2 linked regions of the Macaca mulatta genome follow. The protein of the gene in region 1 interacts with the protein of each later gene in a biochemical or structural test. Links are inferred from orthologs where the notes say so. Each region holds a gene or a part of one and is shown on either strand. Other genes may lie near its edges. The genes, in order: NSF and NAPA.

What was found.
Region 2: the proteins of NSF (region 1) and NAPA form a complex in vitro, tested with the Homo sapiens proteins (2 studies listed by BioGRID). The link is inferred for Macaca mulatta from reciprocal best matches to the Homo sapiens genes NSF and NAPA.

The regions. Positions count from the first base shown.
Region 1 is NC_133421.1:70,495,989-70,511,740, reverse strand, and holds the start of NSF (vesicle-fusing ATPase), read left to right. Parts: upstream 1-5,863; 5' UTR 5,864-5,905; coding exon 5,906-5,917; intron 5,918-15,752.
Region 2 is NC_133424.1:60,002,895-60,018,439, reverse strand, and holds the start of NAPA (alpha-soluble NSF attachment protein), read left to right. Parts: upstream 1-5,495; 5' UTR 5,496-5,623; coding exon 5,624-5,721; intron 5,722-12,861; exon of another isoform or gene 12,862-15,266; intron 15,267-15,545. UniProt on the Homo sapiens protein: Required for vesicular transport between the endoplasmic reticulum and the Golgi apparatus. Together with GNA12 promotes CDH5 localization to plasma membrane.

The sequences.
Region 1 (15,752 bases):
GTGAAACTCTGTCTCTACCAAAAAATAAAAATAAAAAATAAACTAGCCAGGCATGGTCGTGTGTGCCTGTAATCTCAACTACTTGAGAGGCTGAAGCAGGAGAATCACTTGAACCTTGGAGGCAGAGGTTGCAGTGAGCTGAGATTGTCCCACTGCACTCCAGCCTGGGCAACAGAGCAAGACACCATCTCGAGAAAAAAAAAAAAGAGAGAGAGAATCCTTAAGACACACCTTCTTTGATGCCCTCCTGAGAAATGTCAAGAGTAGCCAATATAGTCACCCCAATCAGCTGTGGTGTCTGGGCCTCTAGTGTTTTAAGGTTCTAGACAACTCAGCCCCTCCCAGGAGACGCTGATTTACTTTTCTCAAGATGCATTAAGACTCATCAGAACAATATCTGAAAAATCCCTTTTCAAAGAGATGCAGGCAGCCTTCCAGCCCCATGATGTTAATACACAGGGTTAGGCAGCCTGGCAAGTGCATTGTGGCCCCCACTGAAGGATCATCTGGTTTCCATAGCAACAGTCCTTCCTTTCCACGGAGGATTCTATCATCTGTCCTGCCCACTCAGGCTTTCTAGAATGAATTGATTTTTGTGACTATAGGTGTTTGTCCTTGATCCTGCAAAGAGAAAAGACATATTCATTTAAAACAAACACCCCACCCCACCCCGCAACTGATTGCAGCTAGAATACTGCATTGCATCAGCCAGTCTTCCTTTCATTTTAAAATTCCATGTCCTTTCTCCATTTTGCTCTGTTCTCTAGCTTTATCCATCATTTTAGAAAACAGGTTTCTCTGACAGAAAACAAACAGATGGCAACTCCATCATCCTAAAACTGGCTGTGACAGGGCTGTAAAATCAAGTGTCCATGGGGCTCCCAGAAAGCCTAGGCTTGCATGGCATGTGTGGCTGACCTGTGAGTTACAATTGGAGGGGCAAGAAAAGGCTTTCTATACACAGATGGCTCCCCATACAGTGTCAGTCTCTGAAGTGTTGCCTTTTGAGGTTTGTTTTCTTAGGTTAGTTAGGAGAATACTGACTGCTGTCCTGTCAGTATTCTCCTAAATTGCCACTACTCCTGGGAAGGGTAATACATTAGGTTACTAATACTGAAAGAACTTGAGAAAGAGGGGAGGGGGTGCAGCAGGAAGGGAATAAAAGGGGCTCTGAAGACCGCCTTTGTGTGCTTCACAGTGACACCTTCTGCAAGAGGGGAAGTTCAGGTCTTCATCTCTCTCTGTCTCTCTCTCTCTCTCTCTCTCACACACACACACACACACACACACACTCTGCAGGATGCCTTCTGACAGTTACAATGCAGTGGTGAATTCACCAAACAGGTCTGTTCCCTGAAACACCTACATACAATCCTGCTGGAAGACCTTTGAAACAACTCTGCAGTGACTAAAAACTCTGTACCCAGCACCACTTGTTTGACCCTACAGTTTCCACAGACTAAAGGTAGTTTTCCTTTGGTTAATATGAAAACACCAAATAGATTGCTTTGTTAAATAAAGTGAATTACAGTGAATCTGTTCACTTTTATGTTTCATATTGCCCTCACTCCACAAATCACAGAAGATATTTATTTTTCCCCCAGTTAAATTCTGTTACCACAACCATTACAAACAAACGTCTATATAACCAAAATGTTGTTCAGCCCATTCTGATGGAGCACATATTAAGTGATGTTTAATGGGATATAATTTGAACATAAAATTATATGAGTGCACTGTTTTCAAGTCTTTGAATCAGGCCTCCACCTATAGATGTTGGTTACCTATCAGGGAGCAACAGGTGATATTAAGGGTCACTTTGTAAAAGACAGGAATCTCATCCCTGTAATTGACAGGAAACTGACCATATTCATCAGGGTTCTCCAGAGAAACAGAACTAACAGAATGTATATACATATAGGAAGAAATTTAGTTCGAGGAATTGACTCGTGTGTGATCGTGGAGACTTGGGGAACCCAAAATCTGATGGGAGAAGCTGGCATGCTGGAGGCCCAGGGAAGAGTTACAGTTCTAGTTCACAGGTAACCTGCTAGAGAATTCCTTCTTGTTCTGGATGAGTTTGGCTTTTTGTCTATTCAGGCTTTCAAGTGATTGGATGAGACCCACCTACATTATGGAGGGCAACGTTCTTTACTCAGAGTCTACAGATTTAAATGTAAATCTCATCCAAAAACACCCTCACAGAAACATCCAGAATAATATTTGATCAAGTATCTGGGCAACATGGCCAAGCCAAGTTGATACAAAATTAACCATCACACTGGATCACAAGGGCTAACTGATTTTGGTCAAACCCTGCCCTTGCCCCTATGCCCCACTCTTTTTCATTCTGGGTCCTGCTATTTTCATTTTATCATGTCTTCATCTTCTCCCCCGACCTTTGAGGTACCTTTCCTTTCTGACCCTATCCCTAGTCTCACCTCCTACCTCCCACTCAAAGCCCTTCCTTCCTTAAAAAATGATGTTAGTCATTACACTTTAGAATTTAAATTAATCATTCTGTTAACCGTCTTACTAACTTTCTCACTGTAAAAGAAAAGCATATTAAAAGAATTTCAGGGATCGATGAAGAGCTAAGGGAGATATTTTTTTAGGAAGAGAAAGTGACTAACTCACAGAAATCAAGACAAAGGGGGACAGTCAGATTTTGCAGACGACAGAAAGCAGGTGAACTCTAGAGATCTAGAAAACTAGCAAATGGTCTCTTCAGGGTGTCATCATTGCAATAAATGAGCTCTAGCTATTTCTGTCATTATTCCTCAGGGTACTCAAGATTACAATTACTTAGGGGAGAGAGAGCATCTGATTGATTGAACTTGGGTTCTGTACTCACTCCTGGGCCAGGGGGAGACAGGGTTCCTGGTCTGACAATCCTTCCAAGGCCACATGAACTGGAAGAGCTGTTACCAGAAAAGGGCAGAGTGAATCTGGGGCAGCAAAAACATGTGTTGCTTATCGACTATCGCTGCAAGGATTACTCAGAGGGTGATGCAGAATCAGCACCCCTCTATTTCTAAGATGACCTTGAATGTCAGAGCAAGGCACAAACAGGATGCAGAGACATGTGGAGTATCTGGAGCAATGTCTTACAATCCTTCCCCTCCTGCTGGATGCGAAGGACCTTAAGGACAGGAGCTATGTTTGCCTGCAATTTATTTGGCAGGCCCTGCAGGGCTGTGCAAATGATTCTATTTAATTTTTAATACTTGTGAGAAGGCACAGAGGGCTTTGAGAGGGCACAGAGGGCCTCTTATAATGGGTAGATATGCACGTTAGCTGATACACTGGAAATTTTCCAGCAGGCATATCCTTCCAAGATGATAAATATTCCTCCTTGTTGGAGAAATTGAAGACATTTGTACTTGCAGTCTAGCTTACCTAGTAAAACAAGACAAATTAACCAGTGATATGGAGAAACACGTTTGCATTATTTTCCAACCTTGAAAATAATGTCAGATTATTGGACCGAGAGCCAATGTCATTTTCTCGATCTGGTAATTATTTATTAAAATCTCTTTGATTTCTAGGTTCAAATTCAAGGTGCCAAAAGAAAAAGAAAAAAAAAAAAAAAAAAAAAGGATGGAAACTAGGCCAGGCGTGGTGGCTCACCTCTGTAATCCCAGCAGTTTGGGAGGACAAGGCAGGTGGATCACCTGAGGTCAAGAGTTCGAGACCAGCCTGGACAACATGGCAAAACCCTGTCTCTACTAAAAATACAAAAATTAGCTGGGCGTGGTGGTGGGCATCTGTCATACCAGCGACTTGGGAGGCTAAGACAGGAGAATCACTGGAACCTGGGAGGTGGAGTTTGCAGTGAGCTGAGCTCACGCCATTGCACTCCAGCCTGGGTAACAGAGTGAGATTGCATCTCAAAAACAAACAAACAAAAAAAACAAATAAGGAAACTGGGCTCAGGGATATGAAGGTACACAGGTGACGGGCAGATAGGGACAAAGAGAACCTAACCCTCTGGACTTCCCAAGCCATTCTAATATTTGTTTTTGTACGTTAGTAACTTCTGCAAGTTAGTAGATCAGAACTCAACTAGTTTCCTGTATTTCCTGATAACCTCTCTGACCCACCCATGATTTAGCTAACATCTGATTTGGTCAAGGAAGCAACTTGGTCCTCAGGTTCAGTGTGAGACTTCATGAAATTGACGTGAAATTTTTTTTTTTTTTTGACACAGGGTCTTGCTCTGTTGCCCAGCATGGAGTGCAGTGGCACAGTCTCGGCTTACTGCAACCTCCGCCTCCCGGGTTCAAGCGATTCTCCCACCTCAGCCTCCTAAGTAGCTGGGATTACAGGCACCCGCCACCACACCCGGCTAATTTCTGTATTTTTAGTAGAGATGGGGTTTCACCATATTGGCCAGGCTGGTCTGGAACTCCTGACCTTAGGTGATCCGCCCGCCTTGGCCTCCCAAAGTGCTTGGATTACAGGCATGAGCCACCCCGCCTGGCTGGCGTTAACTTTTTCTTCTGTCCCTAGTTCATCTTCAGGTCACTGTCTGATTTTATTAGTTCTCAAATTTAAATCACTATGCATGCTCAGCTCTTCTAGTTATTTCCCTTCTTTTCTCATGCTGGGGGGAAAAAAAACCCGATTTATTCTAATTAACTGTGAGAAATGAAAGAGAACAAATCCTATCATTCCCTATTGTCTTGCGCAAATATGAAGAGAGAGATGATAGTGGGGTAAATAAAAGCAAAAGGGAATCCATTCGGCAGAATCTGTCTCCTCCCAGGCTGCTTGAAGTTAGATATTCTGAGATTCCAGTGGAGGAATGGTATGGTGAAAACATCGAGGTTCAACAAGGCTGAAATTTAGGTTATATTTTATTCAGATTCTACCATGTATAGTGTCTAAGATGAAACAACGCTGGGGAATGAAAAGGTTGTCGAAGATACAAGTTGCCTTTATTAAAGACAAATATTTAATAAAAATAATCACAATTCGCTTTCAAATCTGAAGAAAATACTGAGTTTTCCAGGCTACACATAAATAAAACTGCCAACGATGACAATTCCAGCAACTAGGAAAACAAGTACGCCTACAAAGAAAAGTGAGAAAATTCATGGAGAATTTGAACTCAGAACCAACTCCTCGGAGCTGATATTTTCTGGGGGAAGCCAGGGAACGCGCCGGGTTTCCTCAACCGCAAGGCCATGTTTAAGAGAGTCTGGAGGCCAGGTGCGGTGGCTCACGCCTGTAATCCCAGCACGTGGGGAGGCCAAGGCGGGCGGATCACGAGGTCAGGAAATCGAGACCATCCTGGCTAACACGGTGAAACCCCGTCTCCACTAAAAAATACAAAAAATTAGCCAGGCGTGGTGGCGGGCCCCTGTGGTCCCAGCTACTTGGGAGGCTGAGGCAGGAGAATGGCGTGAACCCGGGAGGCGGAGCTTGCAGTGAGCCGAGATGGCGCCACTGCACTCCAGCCTGGGCGACACAGCGAGACTCCGTCTAAAAAAAAAAACCAAAAAACAGAGAGTCTGGAAGCACAGAGCAAAATGGACATTCGAGGGCGAACAACTGCTGGCAAAGGGATAAGTGATCCGAAGCATTAAAGCCCTTGCGACAAATTCCGGCGCGAACGGCCAGGGGACACGAGACTCGCAGGAACAGCCCTCGAGCGAGCCGCGGACGGACGCGCACGCTGGAAACACGGTCACCTGCCACCGCCTAGCAGCTCCAGCCAAAATGGCGCCGCCGCTCTGCCCGCCCCGCGCGCGCGCCCTGTGGAGCGAGGACTCCGGGGACGCGCGCGTCCTCACCGCGGCTGCACGCCTGCGCGAGGGCGGGCGGCGGGGGCGCGCGCACGGCGGGGGCGGGCTTTGCCGAACGCAGAGCTGCAGCCGCCTAGCCGGACGTGTCTGCGAAGATGGCGGGCCGGGTGAGTGCCGGTCTGGGAGCCCAGGCTCGAGGCAGGGGCGCCGGGCTCGCGGGCACTCCGGGGTCCAGGAGGCCCCAGGGGAGTGGGAGTGAATCCGAGCAATGGGGCGCGAGGCCAGAGCGGGACTCGAGGGTAGCAGGGGAGCGGTGGCAGAGGATTAGCCCTCCTCAACAACTCCACCCCCCTCGAGGGGAGATGACCCCCTCGTTACCCGCGTCTGCTGCGCCTCAGGTCGTCCTCTCCCATTCCTTGGGGCTTGTTTCCCTTGTCCTCCACATAGCCGCAGGGTCGCGGTCGCCGAAGCCCCTTCTGACTGGCTCTGGGGGTCTTTCCGCACCCCCTTGCGAGGGCTTATTAGGGGGCGCCGGAGTAAGTGCCGGGAGCACGTCTACTGCATTCGGGGCGAGCGGTGTAGGAAGGATCATCAGGAACCCATGTCTGGCTCTTCACAAATTAAAGGTCGTTGGGAAAGAGGAGGGGGTGCCAATGACTTTTAGTGTTAGAGCCCTGCCATCTGGGGGACCTGTCAACTGTCAGGTCAGGCGGGAATTTGCTTTAGCTTGGAGTGAGGATGGATTTGGGCTGTCATGTTTTGTTTTTATGGATGACAGTCGCTTTCAATGCAGCAGGATATGCTGTAGTTTCAGGGTTTTAAATTTACTTCCTCCTTTAGGCTTTAGGGTTGCTGGGTAGGATGGATTTGGCGAGGAGAGATAGAGCTGCTTGAGTGCTGTATTGCAGTCTGCCTTGAGCTAAAAGCTCTAAAGGGATGAGTCCTGCCCAGAGATTACACTGGTTATAAACCTGAGGACATTAACTGCGTCACTGGGGGCGAAAGATGTGCTTGACTGATCTCTTTGTACCAGAATTTTTGAATAAGTTTGCATAGATTTATGCATATATGCAAAAGCCCTATCTAAAGGGACTTGTAGGTCATGAGATTCTAGAGTCAGAAGGGATCTTAAAGGTCATTTAGTTTGGCTTCTTTCTCTTCCTTTTCCCCGTGGTCTCTCCTTTTAAGGCTAGTCCTTCTACCAATACTTCAGACCCTATCTGTATATTCATCTACTCCTTCTTAATCAAGCTTCTTTATCTTAAAACAAACCCTTCCCCCACCCCCACAGCTGTCACCTTTTCCCTTCCCACTTTACAGCAGGAAATTTGATAGAGTTGTCTATATTTATTGTCTTCCATTTGCTTACCACCTACTCACCTCTCAACCTACTGCAGTCTGATTTCTGTCCCATCATCCCACTGAAACCTGTCCCTCAACTTAATTGAACTTTTCAATCCTTATTTGATGTCTCAGCAGCTTTTGACGTTGTTGACCATGGCCTCCTCGATGGAAAGCACTCTTTACATGTGTTCTTGGATGCCTAGCTCCTGGTTTGACTCAGACCTCTCTTTTGCGGACTCACTCTCCTCTACTTTGTTATTCATTGCTGGTATTTCTGCTCAGGCAATCTCTTCTAAGCCCATAGCTACAACTGTCTATATGGCAGTGATTCTCAATATTTTACCCCCAGTCCAGACTTGCCCTTTAAGTTTCAGGTTAATACGTCCAACAGCTTATTAAAATCAAGGCCCCTGAAACTCAGCTTTTTCAATTCCGAACCTAGGATCTTAGCCCACCTAACTTGTGTAGATGCTCCTCAACTTAACGATGGAGTTACCTTCTGATAAACCCATTGTAAGCTGAAAGTATCAGAAGTTGAAAATGCATTTAATACACCCCATCTACCGAATATCATAGCTTAGCCTAGCCTACCTTCCTTACACATCCCCAGAACACTTACATTAGCCTACAGTAGGGCAAAATCATCTAACATAAACCTATATTATAAAATGTTGAATACCTCATGTCATTTATTGCTGTGCTGATAGTGAAAAACAGAATGGTTGTGTAGGTCCTCAAAGTACAGTTTCTGTTGAATGCCTCTCACCTTTGCACTATTGTAAAGTTGAAAAATGTTAAGTGAAACCATTGTAAGTCAGGGACTGTCTGTACCTATTCAGTGAGATAGGAATATCTCACTGAATGATACCGTCATCCACCCAGTTATATAGGCTGGGAATCTGGGGGAGGGAGAGGGTGGGTAACCCTTGATATCTCTCCTCTGCCCTATCCATGTCCTCTGCCCTATACAAAGGTAAAATTTGGTAAAATTTGTCAGTTCTGCTCCTGCCCCCCATAAAGGTGTTTAATTAGGGTCTAAAGACTCTGGTTTGGGAGAATGATTGCTTTAAACTAGATCCAAATCACCCACTGGACTAGCTGGATTGGTCACATGGGTTCTGTCATTTTAACCCAAAAATCTCCTGTCTGTTCACCTTTCCACATCTTCATTTTTACCTCGTTTTCCCAGACTACCACCATTTCTGGTCTGGACTACTGCAGGAAGCTTCCAAGTAGTTTTTTTTGTTTTGTTTTGTTTTGTTTTGTTGTTTTTTTGGTTTTATTTTTGGGACGGAGTTTCGCTCTTGTCACCCAGCGTGGAGTGCAATGGCGCGATCTCGGCTCACTGCAACTTCCGTCTCCCAGGTTCAAGCCATTTTCCTACCTCAGCCTCCTGAGTAACTGGGATTACAGGTGCCCGCCATGACACCCGGCTAATTTTTGTGTTTTTAGTAGAGATGGGGTTTTACCATGTTGGCCAGACTGGTCTCAAACTCCTGACCTCAGGTGATCCACCTGCCTCGGCCTCCCAGAGTGCTGGGATTACAGGCCTGAGCCACCGTGCCCGGCCTCCCAAGTAGTCTTCTTAGAGCGTATGGCCCACCTCCGGTTCATTCTGGACACTGACATTGATTGTTCCTTCCCATGCCCATTACTACTTAAACCCCTCCTCAGCAGCATCCCATTACTTTTTAGAGAAAACCAAATCCTTAATGAGGCCTTCAAGACTCTTTGTGGTTCTGCTCCTGCTTCTTTCCACTCTCTCTCTTTCTTAACTCTCTGTCCTCAGGTTATATGGTAAATGAGCCTTTCAATTCCTTCAGCCTGTAGTTTCTTTTACCGCAAGGTCTTTGCAAGTGGTGTTTCCTTTCTTTGTAACGTTCTTTGCCACGACCATTTACCTCCTACTCAGACATCATTTAGCTACTCAAGGAAGGCCTATTCTGACCCCACATTGTAAGTAAGGATCCTTTGTTATATACCCTTGAAGAACTGTATTCCTCTCCTTAGAGATTTTTTTTGTTGTTGTTACTTTGAGTGTATGTTATTATTTGCTTCTACTACTTCACCTCAGTGAAAAGCAGAGAACATATAAGTTATTTAGTCATTAGCAACTGCACTTTGTGTACCTTCTGGGACTTAGGTACTCAATACATTTTTGTTGAAAATGAATCAATCTCTGAACACTCTGGTGATAGATGGTGTATTACCCTAAAGCTTGCCAGTAATGTCATACAGCTATGTTACGTCTTTGTTATCTGGAGTTCCATGTAACTTTTACACGTAGTTACTATTTCTGCTGTTTAAAGCTATATGGAAGGTGTAAACACAATTTTCCATGTAATAGCTACTCGAGCTATTCGTTTACTTGAATACAGGTTACATATCTCCTCAGATTTTCTATTTTACAAGTTAAACATCCCCCAATTCCTAGCATATTTCATATTCCAAACGCTTAATCATTTAGACTACCTTCCTCTGGAAGTAACCTAATGTTACTGTTTTGTCAACCTTTCTTCTAAAATGTGCCCAGAGTGGAACACAGTGATCAGAGAAGAATGTACTTGAGCTATTATTCTCTTGAGATGGACACTACCATTATTCATGCCAGATAAAATTGTATTAGCGTTTTTTCTACAGTAAATCACGTTCTTGGCTCATAACTGAGCTTGTACTTAATGAAAACTCATGTTCTTTTAAAATCAGCTCCCTAGCTCCATTCTAGGTTTGGAGCCGTTTTACTGAACCTAATTCAAGACCTTATCCTTTTACAATTCATTTTTTTAGGTCATTGCCTGTCTGCTATTTGTTGAGGTAATCTGGATTCTTAGTTTTTCTCGTGTTAGGAAACATAATAGCTGTCTCTTTCAGTTTGGTTAGCTCTGTAGGTTTAATAATCGTGACTTCTGTTTCTACATTTGAGTTATTGGTAAAGGATAGAATAAGACAGGGTCAGAAATAAACCTTGAGCATATGCTGCCAGTGACCTGTCTCTAGACTGATACCCATTAATACACTTGGGTACTGTTGCTTAAGTACAGATATATCTCATTTAATCCCAACAAAACAACCCTGCAAAGTAGGTAGTATTATCTTTGTTTTTTGCAGAGAGAAAGAGAGAGAGAGATTTAGTAACTTGCCAAGTTCACATAGCCAGCAAGAAGCAGGGTCAGGATTTGAACTCAGATCAGCCTGGTACTGTTACCTAGTTCACCAACTTAGTTGCAAGAATGTAATGAAGACTAAGTTTACCTCACCTAGAACTTTTTGGACATAATAATGTTCAGAAACTATCTTCTACCTTTTGGAAAATCTGAACAACTTTGGCCCATCTGATTGTCTATCATTTCTTCTGATAGCCTTTATTTTCTAGTAATTACTGAGTGATGTTTAGCAAATATAGTTCACCTTGTTGCAATACTTTTATTTGTGCATATTTATGGAGTACATGAAAAATTTTTTACATGTGTATAATGTGTAGTGATCAAGTCAGGGTACATGAGTCCAATATATTAAGTATAGTCATCTACTCAGCTTTCAAACATTGAATTTATTCCTCCTATCACTGGATTTTTTTTTTTTTTTTTTTTGAGATGGAGTCTCGCTCCATCGCCCAAGGCTGGAGTGCAGTGGCGTGATCTTGGCTCACTGCAACCTCTGCCTCCCAGGTTCAAGTGATTTTTTTGGTCCCATATGAATGACATTGGTATTTTGATAGGGATTTCATTGAATCTGTAGATTGCTTTGGCAATATGGTCATTTTAATGATATTAATTCTTTCCACAAGCATAGGATTTTTTTTATTTTCTTTCATTAGTGTTTTGTAGTTTTCCTTGTAGAGATCTTTCACTTCCTTAGTTAAATGTATTCCTAGGTTTTTGGTAGTTATTGTAAATGGGATTGCCTTCTTAATTTCTTTCTTGGCTAGATCATTATTGGTGTATAGAAATGCTACTGATTTAAAGGTTTTCTAAACCTACAGATATATAATCAGCAAAGACACAATTTGACTTGCTCTTGTCCAGTTTGGATGCCTTTCATTTCTTTCTCTTGTCTGATTGTTCTGGCTAGGATTTCCAGTACTGTGGTGAATAGGAGTGGTGAAAATGGGCATCCCTGCCTCATTCCAGCTTTTAGAAGAAAGATTTCACCTTTCCTCATTCAGTATGCATTAGCTCTGGGTTTGTTATATATAGACTTTATTATTTTGAGATGTATTCCTTCTATGCCTAATTTGTTGAGAGTTTTTTTAATCATGAAGGGGTGTTGAATTTTATCAGATTTTTGTTGTTGTTGTTGTTGTTGCAATACTCTTTTTTTTAAATTTTTTTGAGACGGAGTCTTGCTCTGTTGCCCAGGCTGTAGTGCAGTGGCGTGATATCTCGGCTCGCTGCAACCTCCACCCACTGGGTTCAAGCAATTCTCCTGCCTTAGCGTCCCTAGTAGCTGAGATTACAGGCCAGCGCTACCACACCCGGCTAATTTTTTTGTTTTTAGTAGAGACGGGGTTTCGCTATGTTGGCCAGGCTGGTCTCGAACTTCTGACCTCAAGTGATTTGCCTGCCTCGACCTCCCACAGTGCTGGGATTACAGGCGTGAGGCACTGTGCCCGGCTGTTGGGATACTCTTAATGGATTTTATATTTCCTTTTTGTGGGGGACAGTTTATTTTGAATTCTTGCACTTTTGATTTGGTTAATTTTGGTATTCTGACATCATCTTGTAAGTGGGATTTATATTCACTATGTAATTGAGGTTTTTTTTTGTTATATCACTGTTGCTATTGATAGCACTAGTAACTTGTATGTCTTGCTCTCTCCTTTCTCTGACCGATGAAGCACCGTATATAGTATATCTGGGAAACTGGCTGAAGAATAAAATGTGTGATGTTACTCAGTGTACATTTATAGGTCATCAGAAGATACCACTACCTTCCCACTACTGGAAAAGAAAAAGAGAAAAGTTTTCCACAGTGCCTGAACTGTTTTGTATGCTTATCTTTTAAAATTGCCAGAAATCTCACTTACTGGAGATTCAGCAGTCCCTTTCTGAAAATATACATACTTTAATGCAAATAAAACCAGTGGATCTCTTTCTTCATAAGTCCTTAAACCCAGTCGAGGTAATCTGTTTTGTAGAGATGGGAGTAAGATAATGTGAAATAGGAACCAACGAGAGAGAACTTTCTTAGGAGTTGAAAGGGGTATGGAAAGATGTTAGAGGTAAAATTTATTGAATCCAGTGTTTTGACTAGGGCAGGCCAGAATATTCAGTATCAGTATCAATATCAGAAGCTTTTGTAGCCTTTGTTTAGAAACCTAGTCATTTGTAACATTTTGTGGGTGAATGACATAGTTACCAAATAAACTTTCAGATGAAACTTTGGAACTCAGGCTGTAAATTGGGGATAGCTCATGTGCAGTACCACAAATCAAAACAAATACTATAAAGTGTTTGGTAATCCATTTCCTAAATGAAAGTTTGACTCTCCAAAGTATATCAGCTTTCTGCAGTCTTATATGCAGTAGTTACTGGTTTTGTATATCGCTTTAGTGGATATTTTCAAAAGTATCTTCAAATGCAATGAATTTTAGGAAACAAAGCAGTTCTTTAAAGCAGCATTAGATAAACCCAGAGAAATTTATGTATAGGATGATTCTTTTTTCAAGTATTTAAGTTAAGGTGCAGAAGTATAAGGTAAAGTATATTAACCATTGAAAATTCTGGAAGTGGCGGAAGAGTGAACCCTTGCAAATACCTGCATTGGGCAGTACACTAAGAACTTGCTGTAATGCTTTTTAAAGCATCTGTCCTCTGACTGTAGTATTTTAAGTGAAAATGGCTCAGTGAGATACTCTTTCATATTTTAGTACTGATACCCTTAATATTGCTCTGAGAGCTACCTACTGACTTCAGTTTCCTAGTGATTTAAACTTCTAATTTCCAACTTTTTTTTTATAGTGAAAACGAAATATTTCTTGTGTAGATGTAACCATTTCTGGAAGCCCTAAGTATTTTTGTATGAGTATAATTCATACACACTTTTAAGAGATTTCAATCATGACAAAAAGTACAGTGAATAATGTATATCCATGTGATTACCACTGAGGTTTAAGAAATGTTAACATATTATGATACCTGCTTCAGATATTTATCTTTTAAAAAATAGAACATTACAACCAGGCGCGGTGGCACACGCCTGTAATCCCAGCACTTTGGGAGACTGAGGCGGGTGGATCACTTGAAGCCAGGAGTTCAAGGCCAGCCTGGACAACATAGCAAAACCCCATCTCCACTAAAAATACAAAAATTAGTGGGCACGGTGGCACATGCCTGTAGTCTCAGCTACTCAGGAGGCTGAGGCACGAGAATCAGCTTGAACCCAAGAGGTGGAGGTTGCAGTGAGTTGAAATCATGCCACTGCACTCCAGCCTGGGCAACAGAGCGAGACTGTTTGTTTGTTTGTTTGTTTAAAGACACTTTTAACCTACCAGTATTGATTTTTGACCTACATTTTTCCTCTTATATTTTATTAGGGCAGCCACAAAGAGCACTTCAATAAAATTCAGCTCAATAACTTTAGGAACCTGATCTCCTTTTCTTTGACTTTAAGCTGAAAGTGTTAATTTCTCACAACTTGTGCCTTGTAGATTTGAAACCAAATGAATTAGCATCAGCTGTTTATGAGTAATGCAGGGTATTTTGGTCTTTTGCTAAATTCAGAAAGAACTGCTAAAGTGCTGATAGATTTGCACTAGCCATATAGATCTTTGGTGGAGGAAGAAATGGGAAAATTATTAATTTCAGGTAAGAAATAAGTTAGTCATTTTTGAAATGCAAGATTCATTTCTTTTTAAAATCACCACATAATAAAGACTTTTAGGGCTGCATTGGTGGGTTTTTTAAAAAGTTGTAAAGTGTTTTCAGTGTTGTGTGCTGATAAACATTTTTGTAGTTGGTTTGACAAGCAATGAAACTAGCAATTATCACTAATTCTGAGTCTTCCAATGAACCTCTGTGTCAAATTTTTAAATTTGATTATCCTGCCTATTTTTCTCCTAGAGAATAATATTGATACAATATTGTGGGATGATAGCAGACAGTTCCCATTGCTGAGAATAGAGCCTGGTATGGGGATATTATGATTCCTGAATGATTGAACAAGACATTTGTTTCTGAACATCTTAGTAAATTGTCACTTCTGACAATGTCTGTAGTTTGAATTTTGATATTCTCTGCCAAGCTATTGAATACTCTAAATAGTGTTGTTTATTGTGTTATTTAAATAATTAGTATTATAGATCTAGCTTTAAACAGCTGCTGCACTGCAGTCCTTTTTCACAAATCTTTCGATAAATCTACTTATCAATCACCAAATTAACTTAAGTATAAGTTAAATGATGAGATGGACCAAGAGTGTTATTGAAATCTCATTTCCACACGTTTCTTCTCTTCTTTTGTAGAAGGTAGTGAAATGAACCTGTCAGTGTGCCTGTTTTATGAAGTTTATTTCTGTTAGTACAGTGATTGTGATGGTGGGTTCTGCAGACCAGCAAATTAGCATTATCTGAGAACTTGTTAGAAAAGCAATTTCTCAGTTCCCACTTCAGGTTGACTAATTTAGAAACCCTGGGGTAGGGCTTAGCATTCTCTATCAATAAATTCTCCAGGTGATTCTGATGTATGTTAAAGTTGAGAAGCATTCACTGAGTATTTTGAGCTCTCCAATTTAGTTCCTTATAAATTGTTGAAGGTATTTTTTCCAGATTTCTTTCCAAATGTATACTCAACCTTGTTATTGATAGGTTTCAAGGTTATCGTCTTCTTCCCATTAATACCTTCATCTATATCCAATTTTCAAACTTTTAAGAAAGCATAGCTATTTTCCTGCAGTATGGTTAATTAGGTACCCTGACTGACCTTCCCAAATAAACAATTTAAAATTCTAGATAAATTTTTTTTGGAGGGGGGACAGGGTCTTGCTCTGTCACACAGACCAGAGCGCAGTAGTGTGAACATGGCTGACTGCAACCTCAACCTGTTGGACTCAAGCAATCCTCCCACCTCAGTCTCCCGAGTAGCTGGGGCCACGGGTGCACACCACCATGTCCAGCAAATTTTTTTATTTTTTGTGGAGATGGGGTCTTGCCATGTTGCCCAGACTGGTCTAACTCCTGGGCTCGAGCAGTTCTTCCACCTGGGCCTCCCAAAGTGCTGGGATTACAGGTGTGAGCAGCTGTGCCTGGCAGATAAAATATTTTTTAAGTAAAAACCTTACATGCATGGAGATAGCTGGCTGAAAAGGAAGGAATAATCAGGCCAAAAACTATGTGAAGGTGAAAACCCAGAAATATAAGCCAAGTACTTTTGCCTTGAGGACATGATTTGCAAATGGCTTTACTTGGAAAACCTAGTTAACTTGTGCTTGTGCCTCAAGAAGCCCAGAGAACAGAATATAAAAGTTGGTAGTTTTCTGGTAGAACGTCCTACCTCTACCGGTAAAGATGGTACCCCAAGGGGCTATACATCATAATAAATGAGAACTAGTAATAAACTTACCTTGTCTAAGGATCAGAAAGGAAAATTTCCTGCCTCAAACTTTTGTGGTGATGGGAAGGGTACAGAAATTCCCTGAGAAGTTTTACCCACAAGCTGACCT
Region 2 (15,545 bases), on another chromosome or scaffold:
CTGGCAGGGGCAGGGGCAGAACCAGGGCTCCAGCAGAGGCGAGAATAACCTTGAACCAAAATCCAGACCTGCAGGGGGCAGGGGAGTCAGGGAAGAGAAAACAACCCCCCTCCCTGCCTCCCTTTTTAAGAGTGAGAAAACCTTTAACAGCTCCCAGCAGATGCCCGTATGTCTCATTGAGCCTGTGTTCGCTTCTAAACTGATCCCTGTTAGTGAGAAGGGAAATGACCACAGTTAGGCTAGACTACTCAAGATGCAGCTCCATGGCCAGGTGCAGTGGCTCTTGCCAGTAATCGCAGCACTTTGGGAGGCCAAGGCAGGCGGATCATGAGGTCAAGAGATCAAGACCATAGTAGCCAACATGATGAAACCCCGTCTCTCCTAAAAATACAAAAATTAGCTGGGTGTGGTGCCACGTGACTGTAATCCCAGCGACTTGGGAGGCTGAGGTAGGAAAATCGCTTGAACCCGGGAGACGGAGGTTGCAGTGAACTGAGATTGTGTCACTGCATTTCAGCCTGGTAGAGCAAGACTCCGTCAGAAAGACAGAAAGAAAAGAAAGGTAGACTCCACAGTGGCTCACACCTGTAATTCCAGCACTTTGGGAGGCCAAGGTAGGTGGATCACTTGAAGTCAGGAGTTTGAGACCAGCCTGGCCAACATGATGAAACTCCATCTCTACTAAAAATACAAAAAAATTAGCCAGGCATGATGTTGGACACCTGTAGTCCCAGTTACTCAGGAGGCTGAGGCAGGAGAATCACTTGAACTTGAGGGGTGGAGGTTGTAGTGGGCCAAGATTGTGCCACTGCACTCCAGCCTGGGCAACAGAGTTGTCAGTGACTCACGTCAGTGGGAGGTGGTCAAGGAAAGGACAGATCGAGTTGGCAGGGCACGTTTGAGCCTGAGCAGCTGTAGTCGATGCCATTAGCTCAGATGGGGAATTGACTGCAGAGGATTGATTGCATCGGGGTGTGATCGTGTCTATGGTAGGGTGTGCTGTGTTCTGAGGGGCTGGGAAAGTAGATGGCAGTGTCAGGAGGTTTCACAGAGGGCCCACCTATCAGCTAAGGCTTAAAGATTGGGAGGGAAGGGGAGCAGAGGTGGACGCTGAGTTTGAAGCAGTTGGAACACTGCAGTTAAGGGAAGGGGTTCAGACGTCAGATGAACCTCATCCATCCTGGCTCCTCTTACCTCCTTGTAAACTAGGGCGAATCACTTTCCCTGTGGGAGCCTCAGTTTTCTCAATCTGTAAAATGGGATGAAAATTGCCCCTCCTCAACCCCTGCAACCTATCAGTTAAATAAAATGTAAATTATGGCCAGGTGTGGTGGCTCACGCCTGTAATTCCACACTTTGGAAGTCCGAGGTGGGCGGATCACTTGAGGTCAGGAGCTTGAGATCAGCATGGGCAACATGGTGAAACCCCATCTCTACTAAAAATATAAAATACGAACATTAGCCAGGCATGGTGGTGCATGCCTGTAATCCCAGCTACTTGGGTGGCTAAGGCACAAGAATTGCTTGAATCCAGAGGTGGAGGTTGCAGTGAGCAGAGATCGTGCCACTGCACTGCAGCCTGGGCAACAGAGCGAGACTCCATGTCAAAATAAATAAATAAAAATAAAATGTAAATTAAGCATTTGGAAAGGTGCACCATAAGCAATGAACAGCTACTAGTTAACAAGCTCTCATGTGATTGCTAATATTGTTTGGATCCCATCCTAAATAAATCCAATGAACTCTGGAAATGGAAAAATACTCCCTGGTTGAAAAGGCTGAGGGGTATATTATCTGTTGCTGCATGACAAATTACCCTGAAAAGGAACAGCTTAAACAGAAGCTTTTACATAGCGCTGCTGCTTTGACAGACATGGAACCAAAACTGCTTGTGGTAATCCAGGCTCACCCCCACCTGCTCTGTGGTCAGGACACAGTGGCAACCACAAGTGGGTGGTCCAGGCAAGTCTATTCATGTATGAAGAGAGTTGGGGGAAGACTTATGCCTTGCTCTGCTCAGCCAACCCCCTAGATAACAGAGGTTTCTCAAACTGTGGTCCCTGGATTATCTGCATCCTAATTTTACTTTTTTTTTGAGAGGAGACAGGGTCTCACTCTGTTGCCCAGGTTGGAGTGCAGTGGCACCATCATAGCCCACTGCAGCCTCAAACTCCTGGGGTCAAACAATACTCCCACCTCAGCCTCCCAAGGAGTAATTTAAAATTTTTTTAATTTTGTAGAGATAGGGTCTTGCTTTGTTGCCTAGGTTGGTCCTTAACTCCTAGGCTCAAGCAGTCCTCCCACCTTGGTCTCCCAGAGTGTTGGGATTACAGGCATGAGCTACCGGGTCTGGCTGCATCTTAATTTTATGGGGTTCTGTTTTTTAAAAACGCAGATTCCTCTGACCCACCACAGACTCAGAATTGGAACCATTGTGGGTATGGCCTTCGAACCTGTTTTATTTAAAGAAGATTTTTAGGATAGTTTTAGATTTGTAGAAAAATTGCAATGACAGCAAAAAAAAATCCCACATACCCGTTTCCCCTATGATTAACATCTGATATTAGAATGGTACATTTATTACCATGAATAAACTAATATGGCACAATATTATTAACTAAACTTCATAGTTTATGTAGCTTTCCTTAGTGTTTTTTGTTTTGAGATGGAGTCTCACTCTATTGCCCAGGCTGTAGCACAGTGGCACAATCTTGGCTCACCACAACCTCCGCCTCCCGGGTTCAAGCAATTCTGCTTCAGCCTCCCGAGTAGCTGGGACTATAGGTGCCCGCCACCATGCCCAGCTAATGTTTGTATTTTTAGTAGAGATGGGGTTTTGCCATGTTAGCCAGGCTGCTCTCGAAAGCCAGGCAGCTCACGAACTCCTGACCTCAGGTGATCCACCCGCCTCAGCCTCTCAAAGTGGGATTACAGGCATGAGCCACTGCGCCCGGCCGATTTCCTTGGTTTTTTTTAACCTAATGCCCTTCTGTCCCAGGATCCCACCCAAGGTAAGACATTACATTTAGCATCCATGTATCCTGGGCTGTGACGGATTCTCAGACTTTCCTTGTTTTGATGACTTGACAGTGTTACTTGTTTGAGACTGAGTCTCCCTCTTGTTGCCCAGGCTGGAGTGCAATGAGGTGATCTCAGCTCACTGCAACCTCCGCCTCCCGGGTACAAGTGATCCTCCTGCCTCAGCCTCCCAAGTAGCTGTGATTACAGGCATGTACCACCACACCCAGCCAAGTTTTTTGTATTTTCAGTAGAGACAGGGTTTCGCCATGTTGGACAGGCTGGTCTCGAACTCCTGGCCTCAAGTGATCCTCCTGCCTTGGCCTCCCAAAGTACTGGGACTACAGGTGACACACTGCGCCCACCAACAGTTTTGAGGAGTACTAGGCAAGTGTTTTGGAGGATGTGGTTCAATGGGAATTTGTCTAGTGTTTTTTTCATGATTAGATTGAAAGATCCCAGAAGTAAAGAGCCATTTTAATCACATGACTTATCAATGTTGAGGTTAACCCAACAACCTGGATGTCAAAGTCTGGTTTCTCCACTGTAAATTTAGTTTTTCTCTCCCCTTTCCTGCACCCTCCTCTTTGAAAGGATGTCACTATGCACAGTCCATACTTACAGAATGGGGAGGTATCCTTCACCTTCTTGAGAGCAGAGTATCTACACAGATTATTTGGAATTCTTCTGCACAAACTATTTGTCTATTCTCCCCCCTTTTTCTCTATTCATCTTTATGACCACAGGCTCATGGATACTTTATATTTGGGATTATAATGCAATACTACTTTATTTTGCTGCTCAAATTGTTCCAGCTTTGGCCATTGGGAGCTCTTTCAGTTGGCACCCTGGCATACCCCCTAATTTTGTGTGTGAGCACACGTGTGGAATACTTCCTTCCTCTCTGGCACTACAAAGTGATACTGCGGTGAGCTATGATTGTGCTGCCGCACTCCAGCCTGGGCGACAGAGTGAGACCCTGTCTCCAAAACCAACAACCCAAAGAGTGAGACCTGTCTCAAAAACCAACTACTCAATTTTCTGGGGCAGCAGGAGGTGTGTTTGAATCTGAACTTTTTTTTTTTTTTTTTTTTTTTTTGAGACGGAGTCTCGCTGTGTCTCCCAGGCTGGAGTGCAGTGGCGTGATCTCGGCTCACTGCAAGCTCCGCCTCCCGGGTTCACGCCATTCTCCTGCCTCAGCCTCCCAAGTAGCTGAGACTACAGGCGCCCGCCACCACGCCCGGCTAGTTTTTTGTATTTTTAGTAGAGACGGGGTTTCACCATGTTAGCCAGGATAGTCTCAATCTCCTGACCTCGTGATCCACCCGCCTCGGCCTCCCAAAGTGCTGGGATTACAGGCTTGAGCCACCGCGCCCGGCCTAACTTTTTTTTTTTTTGGAGACAGAGTCTTGCTATGCTGCCCAAGGCGGGACTTGAACCGGACTCAAACTCCTGGGCCCAAGCGATCCTCCCGCCTCCGCCTCCCGAGTAGCTGGGATTACAGGCACCAGACACCGCGCCCATCTTCGAATCTGAATTTTTTAACACGCTGTCTTCAGCTTTTTTTTTTTTCCTAAGTCTCACTCTGTCACCCAGGCTGAAGTGCAGTGGCACGATCTCGGCCCACTGCAACCTCCACCTCCTCGGTTCAAGCGATTCTCCTCCCTCAGACTCCCGAGTAGCTGGGATTACGGGCGTGAGCCACCACACCCGGCTAATATTTGTATTTTAGTAGAGCGGGGTTTCGCCATGTTGGCCGGGCTGGTCTCAAACTCATGACCTCAGGTGAGCCGCCCGCCTCGGCCTCCCAAAGTGCTGGGATTACAGGCGTGAGCCACCACGCCCGGCCCTCTTCATCTATTTTTTATGAAACCAGAGTTAGAGAACCTCTTAAGTTTTTGTTTCCAGTCTCTCAACTACTTCACCGGTCTCCCCAAAGCAGTTCCAGTACTGGCCGGTAGAGGGAGCAAGAAAAAGCAGAACGGTTTCCTTTTCCCACAAACGCTTTTCCAAGTGAAGAAACGGGCGAGACCAGCCGTGGGGCGGGACTAAGCTCTGCGCAGAACTGTCAAACCCGGGCTTGGGCCCCGAGTTGTCACGTGAGTGTCCGCGGTCAGCTGACTCTGCCGGAGTACTTCAGGGAGGGCGCGGGGTGGCCCCCCTAACAACGCGAGCCGAGGGCTGCTGCTGATTGGTGGAGGAGCATCCAGCGGCAACACCGTGGGGCGGGGCCTCGGCGGTGAGTATTGCCATTGCCTTCCGCAGGGTCACGTGGGAGGTGAGGTACAGAGCGCTGAGGAGAAAGTGGGGCGTCGTTGTCCTGTGTGTGCGCATGCGTTGAGGTCTCGGGACGCCGATTGGGGGGTCCCGAGTCACGGGCGGCTTGCGGCGGCTGGTGGGGGCGTGGCCGGCGGAGCGGGCGCCGCGCTACGAGGCCTCTGGTTGGCCAGCGCGAGTCACGTGATTCCGGGCCGCAGGCGCCGCGCGCCGGTGCGACGTCAACGCAGCCGGGCGACTTCTCCCGATCTGTGTTCCGCGGCCCGGCCGCGGCTGAGTCTTCCCAGGGCCAGTGTCGGGCGCTTTGCTGAGTCCTTTTGTGGCCGCCATGGACAATTCCGGGAAAGAAGCGGAGGCGATGGCGCTGTTGGCCGAGGCGGAGCGCAAAGTGAAGAACTCGCAGTCCTTCTTCTCTGGCCTCTTTGGGTGAGAACCGGGCTGAGGGGTCGGCCGGGACCTAGGCTGAGAGGACGAAGGAGTCACGGTCGGAGGTGGCGGGTTAGGGCACGCAGAGCTCGGGCCGAGGGGACGGAGAGGAACCTGGAATGAGGTGACTTGGCCTGAAGCGGCAGAGGCTACACAGGCTGAGGGCCAAGAGCCTGGGCCGGGGCAACACGGTTTGAGGAGAGACGGTCTGACATGGCGGAAGGGATTTGGGCTGAGGACACACGGACAGAGGCGACCCTGTCTTGAGGCGAGGAAGGGGACCCAGGCCGAAGACAGGCCAGCGGGAGGGGGAGAACCTGAACCGAGGGAATACGTCCTGAAGCCGTGGAGGGGACCGGCTTGGGGGCAGGGAGGGAGTCCGCGAGATAAGCCAGGTCCGGAGGCTTTTCAGAGCTCTAGGGGAATGTGAAGGCTCTCGGGCGGCAGTGATGGGGCCTGGGGCTGAGGACGCCTGCCCGAGGGACTGACCTTTTCATCCCCCGGGGCAGTGGATTTGCGTGGGCCCTGGGCAGTGAGGGTGAAGGCTGAAGGGGGCTGACACCTTTGGAGGGGCTCAGGGCTTAGATGATCCTAGGAGCAGTGAGCTGCGTCTGAAGTGTGGGGGGTGCCTGGGGTGAGTACGGCCCTGGTTAGCAGTGACTAGTTTAAGGACAGCTGAGCGGAGGAACCGGGATGATGGAGTCAAGACTGTGGCGGTCTCAGCCCTTTGGGAGGCCGAGGTGAGTAGATCATCTGAGGCCGGGAGTTCGAGACCAGCCTGACCAACATGGTGAAACCCCGTCTCTACTAAAAATACAAAAATTAGCTGGGCCTGGTGGCGGGTGCCTGTAATCCCAGCTACTCGGGAGGCTGGGGCAGGAGAATCACTTGAACCCAGGAGGCGGAGGTTGCAGTGAGCCGAGATCACGCCTCTGCACTGCACTACAGCCTGGCAACTGAGTGGGACTCCGTTTCAAAAAAAAAAAAAAAAAAGGGAAAGAAAAAAACCTGAGGAGGCCTGGGTTGAGGCCGGAGACTCCTGGGTGGGGGAACGCGTGGTGGTGGCTTGGCCAAGGAGATGGAGGGATAACAGGGAGAGACGGGGACTGAGAGAATCAAAACTGGGGATCAAATTCCTGCTGTGTGATCCTCGAGTAATGGGGATGACAGGAACATGCTGAGAAGAGGGATGGGAAAAGGCTTGGGAGACAGAACTAACGCATGTGACATGGCATAAAACTCACGGTAGCTCCTAAAAGCTGACACCACCATCCTGTGATAATTTTAGTGGCTTAAAAGTATTAAGAGCCCAGGTTTGAAATGTGGCTCTGCCACTTACTTCATGACTTTGGGTAAATGGTTTAGTCTCCCTGTTAAAGGAGATCACAAATCTAACCTGCCTCCCATTTGCTGTGAGTGTTAGAATTGAGCCTGGCGTGGAGTTACATCTCTGAGAGTGTTAGCTATTGTTAATGTGACTTCCCAGAAGGAAACAGGTTTGGAGTGTGCAGAGAGCTGATGGGGTTCAAGGTGGGCGCCCGAGAGGAGAGGTCTGGGAGGGGTCAGGAGAGGGAGAGACAGAAACATGGGTGTGCTAAGAGGAGCTGAAAGGGAGCAGTAAAGGGAGCCACGAAGACTTAGTAGGGTTGAGAGGAGCATGAGGCTCTGGGCAGAGGAAGTAAAGGGAGTTTGGCAGGGGGTGGTGGTGTGTGGGGGGGTGGGATCTGTGCTGATGGGGGGACCCGAAAAGGTCAAGGGGAGGCTGTGGAAACTGAGGGGAGGACTGGGAAAGGACTAGTGGACCTGTAGAGAGAACGGTCTGTGGTGGCCCCTCAGAAGCAGAGCCTGGGGAAGTTGGTGGGACTGGGAGTGTCTGCAGAAGGCTGGAGAAGGGGGTTTGGGAGGAGGGCCTGGGGATGGGAAGAGACTGGGGTAGGAGCCTGGCAGAAGCTGGTAAGACACAAAGGGGAGGGATCTTTCCAAGAGAGGAAGGAACAGGAAAAGGGCTCTGGGCCACGCCCCTTGTTTGAGGTTGGATAATGTTTAGCAAAAGAACTTGAAGAACATGATGGTGAATTGCCTGGTGTGGAGAAACATCTGGGGCTGATGGACTGTATTGATTAGGTGAAAAATATTTTATTTTAGAGGCTGCGAGGAGACAGAGGGTGTGTGTGTGTTTTCTTTTTCTTCACAAGGGGAGAAGTTCAGGTGCTGTGTTTGGGGGTGGGGCCACGAGCTGGATTTTTGGTGATAGTTTTCCTAGGTGGCTCTGGGTGTCTGGTCCCTTTGGCCCAGGGATTAGTGGGCTGTTGGACTGTGTGCTTGGAGGGAGCAGCTAAGTCAGCCCCAAGGCACTTGCTACCTGGTTGGGAAGGCAGGATGCACAGCAAACGCTAGTAAAGTGGAATTACCTACTGTAAGGAAGGGCTCGATTATATCATTCCTGTGACTCTGAGCTCAGAGGAAGCAGTGTGAACCAGGGGGAAGCTCATGGTGAGGAGTGAGCTAGGTCCCAAGGAACCACAGGACTTGCTGGGGAGTGGGGCCAGGGAGGGTGCTCTAGGCAGCAGGGATGGTGCAACAGAGATCTAGCATGAGGGGAAGTTCTGCCTGGAAAGACAGGGAACTGAGATCCACACGGATCAGAAATGGCTTCCTGGGGGAGAGGCCCCAACCCCAGGGGGATGAACAGGAGTTCTGGGTGCTCTCTGGCAGGGAGCAGCACTCCAGGCAGGGGTTATGATGGAGTATGCCTTAGGAAGATGGAACACAGGGAGTTACACGTTAGACCATAAAGGTGGAAGCGGCAGGTGAGGCCAGACTAGGAAGGCCTGGTGAGCAAGGGCTGGGCCTGGAGGAGGCACTGAAGAGCTCCGAGGAGGCTAAGGGAGGCCCATCCTGGAGAGCTGCTATTTGCCTTCTAGAAAGGACTGCAGCAGCTGGTGTGGGGGAGAGTGACGGCAGGAGGCTGTTGCATTGCCGGTAATACTAGCAGATACAGGTTATTAAGTGCTCGCTCTGACTCGGACCCAGGCCTGGGCCAGGCTCAACCTGCTGATAGATGGTATGGATTTAGTCCTCACAAAATCCCCGTGGAGGTAGAGAAACTTGGGGGCTTAGAGAAGTTGACTTACTTGCCCAGCCACATGGTAAGTGGGAGAGGTGGCATTCAAACCCGGTTCTGTGTGATTCCAGAGCCTTCTCACTTAGCCCCTTTGCTGTGCTACCTCGGTAGTTTCTCCTCAAGGTTCATGACCATCTCTGGGCACTACATTTGGGAAGGCTGTTGGCAAACTAGGTGTGTTGGAAAACCGCCACCCTCTTAACTGTGGTCCCATGGCCGTTTTCTCCAAGTATTTGAAAAAAAGAGCCGGTGTGTTCATCTCAGTTCCTTCCAGCTCCCAGAGGAGCTGACCTGGTGCTGTGGGGGTGTGAATGAGGTGAGGGCAGAGGGCAGAGGGCAGGGAGGATGGGAGGGTGGCCTGACCGGAGCTTGCATGCCTGGGAGCTGGGAGCACAGTCAGAGGCCAGCTTAGGAGGACCTGTTTGACGGGTGGGAATCACTCAGGCACCTCCTCCTCTCTGATCTGGGTTTGCTTGTGTTCAGCATTTCATAACCCACCTTTTTTCAGGTCCTTGGTAGCTGCCGGGACTGGAGAAGGGAGTGTTGGGCCTCAGCTTGTCCTTGGTGCCTCTCCCTTCCCCTTTGGGAATCCCAGCAATGACAGCGTCCCACATTGAGGGTCCTCTGCTCCTATCAAAGGGCAAGTCAGAGAGCCTTCACCTGGGACGCAAGGCGGTGGGCGTCTGTGCTGTCGCCCGCTTCGGTGCTCAGACGCCGCCCTTGCTCTTCATTATTTCTGGGCTGCCAGACGCTAGGGGGCTTTGATGCACCAGCAGCCACTGAGGGCGACAGCACCAGCCAGTTAGGAGAAGCTCAAAGCCATCCCTGTTCCTCCCCTTGGTGATGGGGGTGCAGCTCAAACTTCTGCTCTGGAAGCAAAAAGACGGAGACTTCCTAACTACAGCACAGTGAGCAAGCAGCAGAAGGGGACGGCTGAGTCCAGGCGCACTAGTTCCCCCTCCCTGCTGCATGTCTCCTGGTAAATCCAGAGTGCCTGCTGTGCCCTTTGGGGATCGTGCGGCTTCTGAATGGCAGCTCTGTTCCCTGGGGCTTTTCCTCATCCCTGATGTCTCCTGGCCACCTCCCCTGCCGCCAAAACAGCCAAAATAAAAACTTCCTTCCTCTTGGATACAAACGTGTAGAGGGAGTTTCTTCATCTGTGAAATGAAAATCCTAGTCAACTGTTTCCTCGGGTGGTTCTAAAGATAAATGAGACGATGCGTGGGAAGTGGTGGGAGCACGGTGCCTGGCTCTGGTAATGTTTATTAAGGGCTCACTGTCATCTTTATTAGTAGGTATTGTCATTGGAAGTTGAGCTAGAAGTGCTGGAGAAATAGGTGGCAGGGTGTTCTGTATACAAACAGTGCATTCCCAAGATCAGATCTTGGCAAATCAGTTCCTGTTTGAACTACCTGTAGGCAGTAACTGCGGGACCATGGGAGGGCCAGCTTGTCTGTATAGGGCCTGCATGGGATCTTGGCTGAGACTGGTGTGGGCATGAGCTTCCAGATTTCCCTCCAGACCACCTTCCTCTGCAGAGCGTGCAGAGACCCCGGCACCATTTCCAGTGGGCACCCTGGTGAATCACAGTGCCCTGTCAGCAGCCAAGATCCACAACTGAAAACTTGGCATCTCTTGTCCAGTCTCAGAGTGGAGTCTTTCCTGAGAGCACACAAGGTTTCTGGGGAATCTGAGAATTCCTGGCTTTCCTGATGGATGGAAGTTTGCTGCCTGGCCATACAAACATTTCTGTCTCCTTTTTGGAATGGGGCTACTGAAAGACAAGGGTCTTTGAGAACACCTTTTAAGGAAAAGGAAGCACATTCGCCCTTGGTCTGTGGTGAAATGTAATCCCATTGGGGTGCAGGGGGGCATTCGTATAAGAAAATAAGAAACAGAGCGCCTGCCAGGCTGTGTGCCGTGTGGCAGGTGAGGTCCTGGCTCTGAGCTTACCATCTTGAAGGGCCGTGGGCCTGTATGTATTTTGAGCATTGTGCAGTAAGGCGGAGGGTGGTGGGAGGCCAGGACTCTGGAAGCCAAAGGAGGAGCAGCACTTAGCGAATCTGGGGTGGAGATGAAGCCCATGCTGCGATTCTGAAGTAGGGAAGTGTGCCTGGAATCGGTCCTCAGCGGGGCCTGATGAGAGGGATGCTCTTGTTTACTGAGCGCCCGTGGTGTGACCGGCTCTCTGCTGGGCACGCCGTGGGGTGCTGCCTGCAAGATTGCTCATGCTTCAGCAGCACTGCAAGGTGTGGAGTCTTATCCCTAGTTACACATGAGGAAACGCAGGCTGGCACGCGATGATCTGGCACTGAGGCCAGGCCTGTTTGACTACTGTCAGCATTTATTTTATTTTATTTTTACCACCACAAGCAACTCTCTAGAATTCCTATTGCTGGGTGGCAGGCACCCCTTTGAGCGTATTTCTCTTCCTTTGTATAATGGCAACCATTTGAGCACCTCTTCCATTCTGCTCTCTGTGCCAAGTATTGAATGTGTGTCATCTCTAATCCTCACAAAGACTCCTCCCAGGCCAGATTCATTGTCTCTGTTTTATTTCATTTTTCATTTTTGAGAGACAGGATCTTGCTCTGTTGCCCAGGCTGGAGGGCAGTGGCATGATCGTAGCTCATTGCAGTCTCCACCTCCTGGGCTCAACTCCTGGGCTCAAGTGATCCTCTCACCCCAGCCTCCCAAGTAGCTGGGACTGTAGGCATATGCCACCATGCCTGGCTAGTTTTTAGTAGAGTTGGGGTCTCACTGTATTGCCCAGGCTGGTGTCACACTCTTGAGATCAAGCAACCCTCCTCCTTCAGCCTCCCAAAACTCTGGGGTTATAGGTGTGAGCCACTGTGGCCAGCCACACTGCCATTTTATAGATAAAGAATGGAATCTCAGCACTTTGGGAGGCAGAGGCGGGAGGATTGCTTGAGCCCAGGGGTTCGAGACCAGCCTGGGCAACACAGGAAGACCCCATCTCTTATTAAAAAAAAAAAAAAAAAAAAAAGCCTTAGGGATAACTAGCCCCTGGTTGGACACTTAGCAAAGTACCTGAAATGAACTTCAGCCCAGGTCTCACCACCCCAAAGTCATTCTCTTTCTACCCCTTGTCCTTGCCCAGACAGTCATGTCACAAGAGGGTCCTGTGGCGATTTCAGAGCTGGGCAGTTAGGCTGTGACACTTTATCCTTTCACCGTTGTTAACCGGGGCCTGTGCCAGCACTGTGGAGAGATGGGAAAGTGAAGCTGGGCCCAGGCCCCGCCCCGCAGGAACTCATACCCTGCTTGGTCAGCCGGGGCCCACTGCAGAGTGGCGGGAGGCAGCTGGTGGTTTTGCACTTCCAGGTAATACTGGTGGCAGTGCCTTCAGGATGCTGAACCTCTAGCAGCTCCCAGCTCCAGTGCAGTCAATGGACTAGCAGGGCTGGTGGCCCCCAGCTCCCTGTGCCAGGGTGGACCCTGCACCACAGGCAGCCTTAACTTTTTCTGACGTTCCTTCTGCCTGTTGTCTTGTTACTGGCAGGCTCAGTAGGGGGCTGACTTAATTCATCCTCTTTTGCCTAGAGGATGCTCCACGCAGCTCCAGCAGAGAGCAGCCTCTGCTTTGAGATGAGGGAAGCCTCGGCGGTAAAGGTTCCTTGGCTTGTTTAATCTAGAGGAGGGGCGGGGGCAGGCAGGGACCTTGTCCTCCCTCCTCATTTTTCCGAGGACTCTTGGGCATGGGGAGGGAAGCCTTCCTGATTACTGAGTGAGAGGCAAGGGCAGCACTGGATCCCCAGGGCCCCAGTCCTCTTTCACAGCCCTGCTGCTTCCTGGCAGGGTAAGCTTGGGCAAGCCCTCCACCCTCTCTGAGCCCCAGCTTCCTCCCTTTAAAGCAAGGGCAGCACCCAAAGGGCTCTTGTGAAGAGCTGTGGGCTCCTTCTGGGGGAGTGCCCGGGAGCCAGGGAGCGCCATGCGCCAGCTGTGATTAAGGCACGTGGTCTCGAGAGCCGTGCAGGAGGTGGGCTCACAGGCATGTGACAGGCCCTAGGGCACCTTCCCCACTGAGGGTGCTGACCGGAGACTTGGGGCAGTGGGCCTTAAGTCTGAGGAGGAAGCCATAGGCCTGTGCCTGTGGCTTCCAGAGAGGCAAGAGAGATAGAGTGAGTCCAGGACCCAAAATGGGGGCCTTTGTCCACCCTACCTCATGAGGTCCTTCGGGAGCTGCAGGTGGTGGGTCAGGGCATGGTGTATTTCTGGCAGCCAGGAAGTGCCTGGTGGATGGAGGAAGGAAGGAGGGGGCTGAGACTCTGCCCTGCAGTACCCCCTGGCCCAGGTCCCACCGGGTGTCTGTGCATTCCTGGCAGCGCCTAGCCTTCCATATGGCATTCGCTGAGGTTGGTGGCTGTGTTTGGGAGACCTGAGACTCCTTCCTCCGCCTTGGAGGGGGAGAGAGCAAAGCTGAGCGGGTAATTATAGACAGCCCTGCATCAGGCAGCCCAAACCAGTTCCCTCTATTCCCAGAGCGGCTCAGAGCCGTGGGATGGGAGGAGTGAAGCAGAGGCAGCTTGGGGGAGGTCAGTGGGGGAGGGACAGTCAGCTGTCACATGCGCTGCCACCCAGGCCCTCAGGAGAGGAGGCCCAGCTAACTTTTCCTTTCATGTACTGCTGTTATCTCCTGGCACATAATAAATGCTCGGATACCTGTTCCCCAGGTGAATAAATGAGTATGTGAATGGCTTCTTCAGGATCTTCCACTGGAACCTAGGCATGTCACTTTCCCCCTTTGGGGACTTCACTCCCATTTCTAAAAGAAGAGGATGGGACTCCAGAGATCTCCTGTCATCCCCTGGCCGTGGTAATGGGCAAAACCACGGGGTGCAGGGGAAAAAGGAGGCAGGCGATCATAGAGTTTCAGCCCTGGCAGCTGGTAGACTTTGTGTCTGTCCCGTGTCTGCTCTGTCCCTCTGAGCTGAAATAAACCCGGCTGGGGCTGACTCCGCTCGTTGTTGATTGCCTGCTGTGGGCCACTCAGTGACATGGGTCATTTCTGCTCATCCAGGGACTGAGCTTTTTCAGAGAGTGCATGGAGCTGGATAGGACTTAGTCACACTCAAAAAGAAGGGAAGGCTGAGCTGGGGAATCTGTGGGGTGGGCAGACCTGTGATTAAGGTCTGTGAAAATGTCCCTTTAAGAGAACATTCCAGAGAAGGTCCTTCTGAGGGTTTTTTGCAGCCAGGCCCCAAAGGACCCTTCAGGATTCTCAGCCAGAGAAGGTTTTGAAAGTTTCTTACCTCTCCAAGGCCAGGAATGGGTTCTAAAGAAGTCATTCCAGGCTGGGCACGGTGGCTCAAGCCTGTAATCCCAGCACTTTGGGAGGCCAAGGTGAGTGGATCGCTTGAGGTCAGGAGTTCGAGACCAACCTGGCCAACATGGTGAAACCCCGTCTCTACTAATAATACAAAAATTAGTGGGGTGTGATGGCACACATCTGTAATCCCAGCTACTTGGGAGGCTGAGGCAGGAGAATTGCTTGAACCTGGGAGGCAGAGGTTGCAGTGAGCTGAGATCGTGCCACTGTACTGCAGCCTGGGCGACAAGAGCGAAACTCCGTCTCCAAAAGAAAAAGAAAAAAGAAGTCACTCCAAACAAGGCCCGAGGTGTGTTGGGCCGGCTGAGGTGAGGTGGGTGAGGGAAGATGGGGTGCAGCAGGGCAAGTGCGGGAAGAACACATTGCTGAGGGCCACTTCCCGGGGACAGCAGAAGGTGGGGGACAGCATCAGCACAGCCCCAGAAGGCAGGAAGTAGGCTTTCATCTGACAAGATGACAGAGAGGATAGGAATAAATAGATTATTTACCTGGTGTGATGTGGATTCAGGAGACCAGGATCCCTGGCCCAGCCAGCCCACCCGCCCTGGGGGCATTTATTTGCCTGCTGACATTGCCAGGCCTGGCCCCTGATTGCTGGTGGCTGCTTTCCAGATAGTCAGTCTCAGTCAGCTTTTCCTTCCCAAACTCACGTGATCAGCTGAATTACCTGGGCCCCCCAAACCCCAGTGGTTAAAAATCTCAATTGCAGGCCCCATCCAGACCTGCTGAGTGAATCCCAGAGAGTGTGGCTGTGGGACTCTGGTTTGATAAAATGAGCACTTCATGTGGTTCAAAGGGATGGGCAGGTTGGCCACACTGAATCCACAGTGCAGAGGGAAGGAATGCTCACATCCCAGCTCCCAGAATTACCTTTGGGCCCCAACACAGCTGAGTTGGTATGGACAAGTTTCCAGGTACAGCATTGGGCCAGTTGACACAGGGTGTGGGATGAGATGGTGAGGACGATTTAAATGGGAAAATACCCACCCCTCCCTTTTCTCTTCCTTAAAAATAAACTCAACACTGGTTCTGTCAGTGAAGAGAGACCCTGAAATCCATTTGGTGGGACTCCTTTTTTTTTTTTTTGAGACGGAGTCTCACGCTGTTGCCCAGGCTGGAGTGCAGTGGCGCGATCTCGGCTCACTGCAAGCTCCGCCTCCCGGGTTCCCGCCATTCTCCTGCCTCAGCCTCCTGAGTAGCTGGGACTACAGGCGCTCACAACCGCGCCCGGCTAATTTTTTTTTTTTGTATTTTTAGTAGAGACGGGGTTTCACTGTGGTCTCAATCTCCTGACCTTGTGATCCGCCCGCCTCGGCCTCCCAAAGTGCTGGGATTACAGGCTTGAGCCAC